Linked DNA regions of Arabidopsis thaliana. The protein of the gene in region 2 binds, or shares a complex with, the protein of the main gene of each other region. Each region holds a gene or a part of one and is shown on either strand. Other genes may lie near its edges.

Region 1 (7,738 bases), 3.2 Mb from region 2:
TTAATGACGTTTCATAAATTGAGAGGATAGGATCTGGTGTTGTTGGGACACATGCTTTTAGTGTGGACGCTCGAACTACTCCTGATTTTTGGGCCCGCTTTGTTTTCAATTTCAAATCTTTTTGGGGTTCTGTTTTTCTTAATTTGTTTTAGTACGATGCAAAAGGTTGAACAACAACTCCAATTTTTAAAACGGAAGTTAAACTAAAATTTATTGAGTCAAAACTCAGATTAGGTAGTAAGATTACTTGAGGAAAGAATCCCAAAATCTCTTGAAATTCTTGACTGTTGACTATTTTGGTTCATTCCATATATATCAGTCAAAATTGTATACGTGTTCATTCCGAAAATAGGCAGATTTTTATTACAAAATCTGTGATTTTCTTTCTACTTCTAACCGAACAACAGTCAAAATAGTATTATTTTGGTGCCTGCGTACACATCGTAAAAAGAACAAAACTGAAATAGCTGGAACAAAACTGAACCGAAACTCTAGAATAACCGTATTGATACTAAAATCAAAAACCAAAATCGAAATCCAAAAGTACCAATGAATACTCAGAATTACGGACTCCATAGTCCATACTAAACTGATAAGTTGTATTGTCTGATGAAATTCATTCTCACCAAAGAATAAAATACGAAACAGAAACTTTAACTGATAATATTATTAATTATATAAGTAAAGATAATGAAACCAATGTCGCTCACCAAGACGATCCATCCTAAATCTCTGCATCTGAGGTTTTTTTGTCTCTCTTATACCCTAACAAAAATACTAATACATAAAAAGATGGTACACAAAAGAAAGACACTTCCCAAATATCTTAAAAGATGTTTCCTAACATTACAGGGAAGTATCGAAATCTAAGTAAATAATGGAGGTGTTGTCCTTTGTACGCATCGCTCTAGCTTCATTCAGCAGACCGTTTGCTATCTTCTCCGCACTACTCTCTCTCCCTCTCTCTTTATCTCTCATCTGCCATAACATAAACATTACATGAGATCGACGTTTTCAGACATAGCAAATGTCTCAACGAGTAGAAATTGATTTTACCTGAAGTACAAGCTGCACAGCTTTCTTCGGACTTACCACGTCCCATAACCCGTCACTGCAGTATTCGGATTTCAAAAATTAGCGAGCAAGAATCAGAAAACGGGAAAAAGCTTATTATGTTTATGTTTATGTTTTTTTACCTAGCCAATACAGCAAATACGTCTTTACTAGATTGATCGATACGCAAAGGCTCACTTATATATGGCTCTGCACTGAAACGGCTGTCTTGTTGCTTTGGAAACTTGTCTCCAAGCATCCTCGCAAGGTTTATACCTGAAGAAAATTATCACATCAGATTTGGTCATTTTGTTACAAAGAAGTTGCAATCACCTGAGCGTGTTTAATTCATTGAGCTAATACCAAAAAGCCGAGTCTCTCCATCTCTCAAGGCTAGTCCTGCTTCTTGGAATCGTTTTCTCTCGCTCAAGCTAACCACTCGATGATCTTCAGTCATTTGTATATATCTGCCACCAAGACTGCCAAATGCAAACCAAATCGTAATCAGTTAAGAAAGTCGAAGTTACTATTATAATGCCGAGACCATTAATTCCTAAGAGCAAAACAACTATCAGAATTTTTTATTATTAATTAAGATCCGTATCAAGGAAGATGTAGGGATAAACTCTCTTTCTATTTCCACAAAGCAAAGCAACGACATTCAAATATTCTTTTTCTTATCCAAAAAAATTCTACTCCGACGTGAAACAATCTCATCTATTGATGTCTATTTACTCTACTATAAAGCCTATATTAGTAATCATCTACTGTTTCCAAACCAAGAGGTTTTCATTAAGAAGACCACACTCACTCACGCTTTAAACACGCAAGATCTTTGTTTCTAATCTGAGTAATCAAGTCCCCTCCCTCTTTCTACACCAAGAAATGCTGCTACAAGTCTGGTTAATGCAAGCTCAGCAACTACGAATCTCAAGAATAGCAATATAATATTTTTTACGTACTGGATAACACATGCTGAATCCCCAAGATTGGCACATTGTGCGAAGAAGTTTTCTTCATTGTCTTTCCAAACCAAGAGAACAGTAGCTGTACAACCCTGCATCGATCAACTAATTCATTAAGTAGGAAGCAATGAAAAAGTTCCAGCCAAGTCGTCAAGAAGGCAAACATGCCATCAAAGGAAAAGAAAAGGACAAACTGAAATACCTCATATTGGTGTTCTTCGAGGCGAGCTTCTGTTTTAGCAAACATGTCCCTAAGGACGTCCGAAGCATCCCTTTTTGATAACACTTTCTCCTTCCTCAGCGAGTCTGATAAAATATTCGCTAGAACCTCCGGAATAATTCTGGAGAAGAAGTTTAATTAGCTTATATATTCAAGTATATAATTGCCGTTGTTGGAGACACAAGTAAATCAAAGATGCTCCAGTAGTTAGTGAAGGCTCCTAACATATAATGACTAAGCCCATTTACAAAAATGAACAGAACAAAGTTTCATATATTTGTTCCCGGCTGTAACCACGCCTGCCCTAACTGTAACACATTTGCATGGCTAATCACATGCAGCTAAAAATTTTAAACTACATAAGAAGTTGATTAATAAATGAAGCAAAAACAATAAAGAAAAACTCAGAAAGGCGGATGCTGTTAGAAGTTTAAACACAGCCAAAACCGCAGCCTTTTTCAGGTTAGGACATTTCGTAGGTTAAGCATACAAAGAAAACCCAAAATAAGACCTATCGAGGAGGATTTTATAAAAGAAATAGTTAATAGAGGTGATTTGGATTTTTTTAAGAAAGACTCACTTGATTGCGGATTGAGCAGCCCCTGATCCCCCATGTCCATCACAAACACAAAACAGTCCAAACTGAAACCATATACATTTGGAATTATGTTATCAAAAGCAGCGAAGCCCATCATCATACATACAACTCAAATCACTAATCAAGGTAACCTTATTAGCCCCAGGAAGCGGCCACTTGTAATGACAAACATCTTCCATCGGAAGTTTCCTGCCTCCTCGACGCATAGCCATGGGATCTGAGGCCACACCAATTTTGAAGGGTATCTGAAACTCATTCTGAGAGGAGATACGGACCTTCCAAAGATGAAAAGAAATTGCATGAAATTAACAAGGGAAACAAAAAAAATTACCAGCAAGCACCTTCACCACTCAGATTGACTTACATAGACCTTTGTTGTTGTTCCCAAAGTTATTATATCATCACTTGCAAGCTCGACAGGGTTACCCCACTTCCGGCTGCCTAAATCAGGATGACTTATTGAATGAGAGTTTACGAGAGTTCCATTTAGGCTACCCATATCTACCAGCTCCCATTTAAATTTCTGAAATCAAAACCAGGCAGGTGTGACGCACAGTGTAAGAAGTGGCATGCAGAAGTCGTATAAATAAATCTACATAGCTCCTTACAGTAGAGTTCCATGTTATCTGTGCATGTTTCCCAGAGACTTCTGAGTCCTTCAATGCCAAATCAGAAGGAGAAACCCTTCCAAGTTTCACTGGCAGCTTGGAGGAACTTGTGGAGTTCACAGCATGTTGAAGCCCAATGGCAGGACCCGCGATGACTTCCAGGAACAGCCAACTTCCTGCACTTCTAACACAAAATATGATATATGTCTTGCACAAGTAATTCAAAAAATGGATTGAAGTTGTATTACACACCCTAGGCAAGCAAAAGAATAAGAAATTACTTTGATCTTCCACGAGCCTCGGAGAAAGATTAATAAGTCGATCCTTTTCCAGATTATATTGCAAGTTTTCATTTCTGTTATTCTGCCAGTCATATGTTTGCACTTCTGCCAAGGAACCTTTTTCAGCTGGAAGTTTAAGCGTTTGGCCCACCAAAGCATTGTCAGAAGGTTCAGAAATTACTTCTAGAACAAAGCTTTCACCTACATAAGTTAGGGCAGATTGGTAAGGTCAAGAATGAGTGATGCATAGAGTTCATAATGCAAAGAGGATGTTTCTGATACAACTGTATCATTTCCATCACGCTAATGATCTAGAGTCAATCCAACTTGTCTACCAGAGCTGGACATAGCAGGGGAGGAAAGAGGCAATGAGTACCTTGGGAGAAATGGGGAGATGACGAAGGAAGCCTTTGTTTGTAAAACCGTCCCTCAGTCAGAGATGAATGCAAAAGTCCATCATTTTGGTAGCAAGCTCCCTCTAAATCATATTCCCTTGTTACCTCACTGGTTTGTCCTTGGATCAAATTTCCATCATCAGAAATAAGTGGTCTCTGCAAATCCCCCACCTGCAAACAATGGCGCTGAAAGAATTAGGGCTAGGAGCAAAAAAAAAGTTGCGTAAACTGGATACTCAATAGCTGAAAGATGAGAAACTCAATATTTCCCTATATGAAGAATGTAGTAATAATAAGGTGGATTTAGTTCTTATACAATTTTAGTATGTTATCCAAGTTATGGAGAAATTGCAAACAAATGAAATCTACAAGCGAAAAGACTAGATGGATGAGCTGTATCCTATTTCCAGTGAGAGTAAAACCGCCTATTAGATTAGTAAGGAGTAGAGTATAACAGAGCTAGGAAATGAATGAACAGCTGATTTCACCTTTTTCATTCATTTGTTACCATTTCTCCGGTAGAAAGACAAAAATACAAAAAAAACAAAACTCACAGAATTCCTACAAAAAGGTAACTAATGAGGAAGAAGTTCTCCCACGATAATTTCCCACACTGAAACTGAGTTCTTGGCAACATTCACATTGCCTAATATATAAGCACCAATGTCCAAATTCAGAAACAAATCGACAGTTTTCGCAAGCAAATTCACAAGAGTTCCCTACTTCCAATGTCTGTCTAAGTGCACATCAACAGTTTGAGCCGTTGAAAATGTCAATTAGCCATGGCTAGAGAAGAAGAAGAAAACATAGCACACAAAAGAAGCTGAAACGGCCATTACGCTTTATTCAAACAAAACCATTTTGTGCAAATCGAGCAGGCAGAGAAAATCCAGCCACACTCATTATAAACCAAACGAATCTATCAACTCTTGAGCTTCAAAAGAATCTAACAACAACAAAAGAATCCTAATTTTTCAACAGTGAGAAAACTCAACAACACATTATCATCTCCAAAAAGTCAATCAGATTATTTCAGAAACCAAACACACAATATATATCTCACCGCCCCCACGTCGACAAAATCAATCAACGAAATCGCCAAATAACCCCAACTACTATCGGAATCCACGAGAAAAGCATCATGATCCAGCGACGTAACACTTGTCACTGATGATCAAATCCTTTATCAATTGATCATTTCGCGAAAACAAACCATCCGACATAAAATCGAATCAAAAATCAAAAAACGAAGCCGTGGAACGAAGACTCTGAAAATTGAATAGAGAATGAGATAAGAGGAAGAGGAAGAAGAAACCTTGAAGGTAGAAGAAAAACGAGAGGAGGATCGGAAACGAGAAAAATATCGCCATGGCTTGCAGGCGAAAAGGATGATGAGGGAGATGAGAAGCAACATAAGAACCATGAATAGCCCAATAATGTTCATCCCTATCATCGCCATCGTCTTCGCTTCTCTCTCTCTCTCTCTCTCTCTGCACCCCTCCTCCTTCCAGATTGGTTCCCGAGAACCTCGCTTTGAATTTTTCTTACCTTCTCTGTTTTTTTTTTTTCTTTCTCTTATCGTATTTTCACTGTCTTTTTATTTTCACTGGTCGATAGACTCTAAGAGTACATTATCCCTAACGCTTTACATGATTGGCTAGGGTTGGATTAAGCTATATAATTATCACCTCCACGAGTTACTATTGGTTAATATGTGGATTACGCTATAGATTATGAGATTTTTTTTGTTTTTTACACTTGATTTATGGTTTTAATTTTTTGAAAAAAAACAAATTAAATAGATTAGAATTATCAAGAATCTTGTAAAGAAAAAGGTTATGTTTTTGAAGACTTAAGTGATATGTAGATATGATTCTAGAAATCTCATTGTTAATGAAAAGTTTTTCGATCGAGATGACTTATTTATGTTTAGATGTATTTCGAGTAACATCTAGAAAAATTGGTATAATATAGAGGTACAAAAATAACGATGGTAACGTTTTGGCATTGTTAATCTTACCGCCTTATGTATTTGGTAACAAAAAATATCCGATTATTTTTTATCATTGCAATATATGATTGCTAATCAAAAGCAGGAATTGGATAAGAGAAATAACAGTATACTTCTTACCATTGCGATATATGATTATTAATCAAAAGCTTACTGCTTTTTGTAGGGTAACAGAAATAACGGAATAGTACTTCTTACCGTTGTGATAAATGATTACTAATCAAAATAAATTAGTTAGCACAAAAAATAACAAAATGTAATCCCTAATGCAGTAAAATTTAAACATGAATGTATAATGCATTCTAATATACCAATCGTAAATATCAGTCTTGTGCTCTTCTCTTTTATGCAACAGACAAGCACACACACGCACACAAGTCATTTTCCTAAAATCTTGTAAAACATAGTAATCAAAAATGTCTATGTGAGTATAAAACATGTTACAGTTACCTTTATTCTTGAATCAGAGAGAACTTCCATTTTCTTTTGTTTTATCAACAAATGCAACTACTCCATTTTTAAAGTCCCATATGAATTTATAATACCAATATGCATACAATTATGCATACACGAGATGGAAATTACATAAATGATACTTACTAATCAACTTTCAATATATTATCCATTTGGTAACGTTTTTATTTTTTATTGACTATGCTTTAAATGTGGTAAACATATACGAATATATAATTTGGTAACATAATAATAGTCTTCATTCACTACCTTCTCAATTTTGTGTATTTAAGAACTCTCAATTTGTTTTTTGTTTTTTATGGTTGTTCAAAGACAACAATTGGTAAAGCATATATATAAGAAAATTTGTTGTTAGAATCTTTCAGTTGGTTAACAAAACGGCCGGTCAGACCTTTAAACAAGGTTCAAGAGACGATGCTATTGTCTACTTCTCAAGTCATGATTGCTCATCACAGAGGACACATAAATCGTAACTGAACCTTCTCTCTTTGATATATCAATTTAAATCTATATGGTTCTTGTCAATTTTGTGTTTAACACTCTTGTGAGTTTTTAACTTTTGTATGGCTAATGAGTTTTGTAATCTTTTTAATTTGATGTCGTTGTCCTTTTATCATAAACTATACAATTAGCCTAATGTCTAACGTTTGTTTTTAAAAAGACGATAGCTAGAATTTTGCAATTTTTCTTGTAACTTGTATCTAACTAATAATTCAGAAATTTTATCTTTAATTTGTTTAATAAAAATGATAAATTGCTTGCAGGTAGACATGTGGATTTGAGTGTACAAGGATCCATAGGGGTTGAAGAAGAGGAACGGTGGCTTAATGCGCGACAGATAGATACATATGGCGCATGCTTTGTTCGGGGGACGAGCTTGGATCTTAACTGGACTCCTCCAGACTTTGGAATTGTTAAGTGTAATGTGAATGCTCATTGGGGAAATGCTGACATGATGAGTGGGGTAGCTTGGATTGCTCGTGATGTTAATGGTTTGGCTCTATACCATGCAAGAGATGCTTTTACAAGGTCTTCAAATAGGATCATGGCCGAGTTGCGTTGTATCTTGTGGGTGGTTAAAAGCTTACGAGATCTTCGTTTGCAAAACGTGATAATCTCTTCGGATTGTCAAG
Region 2 (4,934 bases):
AGTTATTTTATGAATATATAAATATGAATACGAAAGACATTTTATGTAATTTTTGGTATATTAGTTAGAATATATTTGTATATTAGTTAGAATATATTCATATTATTTTATATTTTAATACAAAATTATCATGGAAACGCACATCAAATTATGAACAGAAAATATTACATTAGATAGTAAATTGCATTAAAATATTTTTCAGTGACAAAATGGAAACGAATTAGGAATTTGAAGTAGAGGCCAAGTCAATGAATATCTAGTCATTATATTAGTGTTGTTAGTTAGAAGCTAATATTGTTGCTGGTGAGGTGAGAAGTGTGAATATCGTTTGCACCAAACATATTCGTGGACTACAATATAATTAGCTTGAGAACACCGAATTTTCAGAACCCCCTGCATAAGCATAAGATCATGTGATTGTCATATGCAATCATTAGATAACTAACATGAGGAGACTCATCTCAAGTCTTTTTGGCTATCGAAAATCATTTGCTACATAATAGTTAAAAGGAGAGCACACATATTGTGATCCATTCATCTATTTGCATTTAGACTGAAAAGGAAAACTCTTAACAAAAGAACTGAAAACCAAAAAGTTCAAAGAAAAGAAACCCGTAAAAATAATACCACTACTTAAGAAAATCCAAATACAATTAAACTTCAAGAATAAACATCTTTAAAATCATATAAAGCTTTTAACATGACAAGCTTTATATAAATAATGAACGTGGACTGGAATCACGTGTGAGCGAGCAACTTTGGTTTTTACAGTATCTTTCTCTGAAAAGATTGGTGGAAGAAAAAGAAAAGTTGGAGTAATGTATGAGAAAACAACTAAATGTCTCAGAATTCGACCAAAGACTGTTATTTTTATAAATAGTTTTCATGCATGCAATGCAGACAAAGTGGTCCAAGTACACTTTTGATATTTTGCATCTCTTTGCGTAATGAGAGATTCGACTTCTTTGATACGTGTGTGCTTCTCTATGGTCGCATTCTTCCACAGCCTATGTTGCACAGATTTTCTTGGTTTGACTGGATTTTATATACGTAACAACATTGACGATTTTTATTATTCACAGTTTCACACCGACAAAAAATCCACGAATTTTGGGTTCCAACTTGATTTTGACGATACAGTAGAAGGATCATAATTTAACCAGAGGAGCCTTAAGGAGAAAGATGTTTTTAAGGCTTGAGCAGAGTCGAGACAATAAATATTAAGAGCACAGAGGTTTAGTAGAGTAGATAAATCATCAAGCTGTGCACAATCATAATCATCATAAACACTTCAATCTTTTTTCACAGTTTTTGAGCAAAGGTTATGGGGATTTTGAGATCGATTTGGTGGCAGAAACATCGCGTAACAACCCTCCCCCCCTTCATCTAGATCCTCAGGCCTCGTCCATCTGCTCCTGTTACATAGAGTAGTAATAACTCAGCACACACGGTTTTGCGGTTATTTCAGTTTTAACATGTTCTTTGATGTCTCTTATATGATGCATCTGATTGGTCTATGATGGAAACACTAATCACACTAAGATATGATCTTTATAGTTATTCGAATGGTGTAGAATATCGAGGTACGGCATAAAGAGATGTGAATACCTGCATATCGGAGGTCCAAAGGGTTAAATTGTCCCTCAGCAACTGCATTATGAGAGTGCTGTCTTTGTAGGATTCCTCTCCCAGAGTGTCAAGCTCAGCTATGGCCTCCTCAAAAGCCTACAATTAAAAATCCAGTATCAAAATTGAGAATGCCCCCACAGTGAAAAATTTCTGCCGTTTTACTAAATGTCTTATACGTAAGTTCTAGTTGAAACAGAATGAGACATCAGTCCTAGTATTGGACAACATGGATCTTCATCATCATATTAGTCTGTGATTATTAAAAAAGAGGAATTTTGTTAAAAAAGCTGACTCAAAGTGATACTAGATGAAGCACCATGAATCAAAGAGTGGTTCTTTATCTAACAAAACATACTCAGGAGATAAAGGTACAACAGAAATAGTCAACAAGTGGTCAATCCTCTTAGTCAAAACATCAAGCAAGCTCATTCAAAGTGATAAGAAATGATGATACACAGAGGGCCAAAGATTGGTTCTTTACCCAACAATACATCTTAAGAAAAGAAAAAAGTACAACAAGACTAGTCAACAAGTGGTCAATTCTCTTTTGTAATAACATAAAGCAAGAAACAGAAGCAAACTCTCAAGAGACAAACTCAGGTCAACGACTTATATGTTTGTTACCAGAGAGGCAACGGAAAGAGAGAGAAAGAGATGTTCCTAATTGAGGCAAGCAGCGAAAAAGAAAGAAGAAGAGTAACCTGTTTGGCCATGTTACAAGCTTTGTCTGAAGAATTGAGAATCTCATAGTAGAACACTGAGAAATTCAGGGCCAGACCAAGCCTTATCGGATGAGTAGGTGCCATATCCGCAGCTGCGATATCCTTCAAAAAACATCACATCGAAAAATAGACAAAAACATCTCCATCAGTTTGAAGAAAGCAATTTTTACTCTTTAAGACAAAAACTGAAACAAAACAGCAATCTACTTTCTCATGATTTGATAAGCATAGTAGCTCAATTAGAGACCAATTCTAGATCAGGACATAATTACTAGATTTGGAAGCTATTACCAATAGAAGAAATCTCGTAAACAGAGTTCACAAACAAAACTTATCAGCCAAATCAGATTTGGAGAATGAAAATAACCTGAGCTGCTTTGTAAGCGAGCATGGTATCTTCAGCAGCAGTTTTCCTCTCATCACCAGACTTAAACTCAGCCATGTACCGATGATAATCACCTTTCATCTTCAAGTAAAAGACCTTAGACTCACTCGCTCCAGCAGATGGGATCAGATGCGAGTCAAGGAGCTTAAGGATTCCAGAGCAAACAGAAGAAAGCTCAGACTCAACTTTAGATCTGTAATCCTTGACAAGCGACACGTGCTCGTCGTTCTTCCTACTCTCTTCCTTCTGCTCAATCGAAGACACGATCCTCCAGGCGGCGCGTAGAGATCCGATCACGTTTTTGTAAGCAACAGAGAGGAGATTCCTCTCTTCAACGGTGAGCTCTTCCGCTGGAGTAGCGCCTGTAACGAGCTGTTCCATGAATTGAACCATCTCTTCGTAACGCTCCGCCTGCTCGGCGAGCTTCGCCATGTACACATACTGGTCTCTGCCTAATGTCGCCGCCATTAGAGAGAGAAAGAGAGAGATTTGATTTTTTTTTGTTTAATGGGGAAAATTTGAAGAAAATGGGAAAGAGAAAGAGAGAAGAAGAATAAAGGGCAAAGAGTCAGGTGGGCTATTAAAAATAGATGTATATTAAACCCACGCGCAAGTGTGTTCACTTTCGATTATACGACGGCGTTTGATGTTATAGTCTTTCGTAGAGTGAGGAGCGTGGTTTGTGTTGGCGAGTGGGATGGTTGGGAGGGTTTGGGGTTTGTGATAAGAGCGAGTGAATGGACGATAATAGTTTTTTAGTGAGTCAGCTTCTAGTCACTAGTTTTAAAGTCAGAACTCTGATTGGGCCTTTATTAGGCCTAATATGGGCCTTATGAATTCCAATACTTATGAAGTTTGTAATACACACCTTTTTTTTTGTTGTTGCATAAAATGCGAAAACTTTTTCTTAAAGAGAAATAAAGTACATAATTTAAAAGACTAAAGTATATATTCTTTTAATATTAAAGTATATTAACCAAAATGGAAATCAATAGTTAGTAGTAGTGTCGTCTGCAAAGGAAAAAAGTGAAAAATAAAAAGACAAAGTCCGAGAAAGGAGACTTTTTAATACGTTCATGTGGTCAACCGTCACCGTGAGTCCAGAAGGAATTTTTTTTTGCATCGACGGATGGGAACAAGCTCCGTCTCTCGGCCGTTATGTTTTCTTTCGGCCTTTACTTTGGACTTTCACAACTCATTTTTCTTTTTCTTTTTCTCTTTCACAACTCTTTATCACTGCAAAAAACAATAAGGATATGCCTTTTTGATTCTTATCTTGTTATTGTTATATGATGATTTACAGGTTTTAGATGAGATATTTGTGACTCGAATGCAAAGCTTAATCGGGAATTCGTTAAAGGACGAAAATTTGGAGGCACCAAGATTGATAATGGAGCTTCGGTCTATGCTTTTGTAAACGCTATATGGAAAACTGCATACTGTACTACTTGGAGAAGAAGAGAGAAAAAATATGTTGATAGAAACCATACTTTGAACATTCAGCTATAAGAGTTGGGCATGGTGTAGTTAGATTAGTGATGACTCATATGTTCATTTTGGTTCTATTGTTAATAAAATGTATATATATATATATATAAACTCAGCGATCGTTTCAAGTTTCTATAAATCTGATATACAAATTCATCACTGTTGCCACCAAAATAAGAATGAAAGAGAGAAGGGGCGCTTTGGTCAACTGAGCGGTTGTTTGTTTAAAGGGCGGGAAATTGTTTTGAAAGACAAAATATTAAAAAAATATCGTCGCCTGAGAGATTCGAACTCTCGCGGGGAAACCCCATGTACTTAGCAGGCACACGCCTTAACCACTCGGCCAAAGCGACTATGTTGTTTGCTGAAGGATTAGCTACTATATAATGTTGTTTTACATAAGTAAAGCGTGGAGCTTACTCGCGTATGTTGCGCGTACGTATGCGTTGTGCTTGTGGTAAAGTGAAAAACACTTTGTGGTTTGTTTTTCGATTGGTCCAGTTCTCTTCAGTTCTTCTTCTTCTCGTCACAGGAAGAAAAATGTTCTGTTCCTCGCAGCTCTCACAGCCAATGAATGGCCTCAAAGACATAGTTGAGACGAGAAATTTTAAGGTTTGACCTTCAATTTACTGTCTTCTTATGTGCTCTCTGACTTTCTCCTCCTCTTATGACGAGCGAAGCCATTAACATATCTATGTTAGTCTGATGAT

What was found.
Region 1: GRF6 (region 2) and KAPP share a complex: the UniProt entries of both Arabidopsis thaliana proteins name them as parts of the SERK1 signaling complex.

Annotation. Positions count from the first base shown.
Region 1 is NC_003076.8:6,486,291-6,494,028, reverse strand, and holds KAPP (kinase associated protein phosphatase), read right to left. Parts: upstream 5,711-7,738; 5' UTR 5,580-5,710; coding exon 5,436-5,579; intron 4,292-5,435; coding exon 4,102-4,291; intron 3,927-4,101; coding exon 3,726-3,926; intron 3,621-3,725; coding exon 3,445-3,620; intron 3,360-3,444; coding exon 3,201-3,359; intron 3,112-3,200; coding exon 2,968-3,111; intron 2,881-2,967; coding exon 2,819-2,880; intron 2,360-2,818; coding exon 2,221-2,359; intron 2,111-2,220; coding exon 2,016-2,110; intron 1,895-2,015; coding exon 1,865-1,894; intron 1,533-1,864; coding exon 1,417-1,532; intron 1,330-1,416; coding exon 1,197-1,329; intron 1,112-1,196; coding exon 1,057-1,111; intron 979-1,056; coding exon 847-978; 3' UTR 590-846; downstream 1-589. Other genes in the region: AT5G19270 (reverse transcriptase-like protein), read left to right, coding at 7,020-7,074, 7,370-7,738. UniProt on the Arabidopsis thaliana protein: Dephosphorylates the Ser/Thr receptor-like kinase RLK5. May function as a signaling component in a pathway involving RLK5. Binds and dephosphorylates CLAVATA1 (CLV1). Functions as a negative regulator of the CLV1 signaling in plant development.
Region 2 is NC_003076.8:3,283,058-3,287,991, forward strand, and holds GRF6 (G-box regulating factor 6), read right to left. Parts: upstream 3,291-4,934; 5' UTR 3,205-3,290; coding exon 2,719-3,204; intron 2,454-2,718; coding exon 2,331-2,453; intron 1,726-2,330; coding exon 1,609-1,725; coding exon of another isoform or gene 1,558-1,608; exon of another isoform or gene 1,515-1,557; coding exon 1,419-1,514; 3' UTR 1,416-1,418; coding exon of another isoform or gene 1,395-1,415; 3' UTR 796-1,394; downstream 1-795. Other genes in the region: AT5G10460 (Haloacid dehalogenase-like hydrolase (HAD) superfamily protein), read left to right, coding at 4,765-4,836. UniProt on the Arabidopsis thaliana protein: Is associated with a DNA binding complex that binds to the G box, a well-characterized cis-acting DNA regulatory element found in plant genes. Specific negative regulator of slow-vacuolar (SV) ion channel.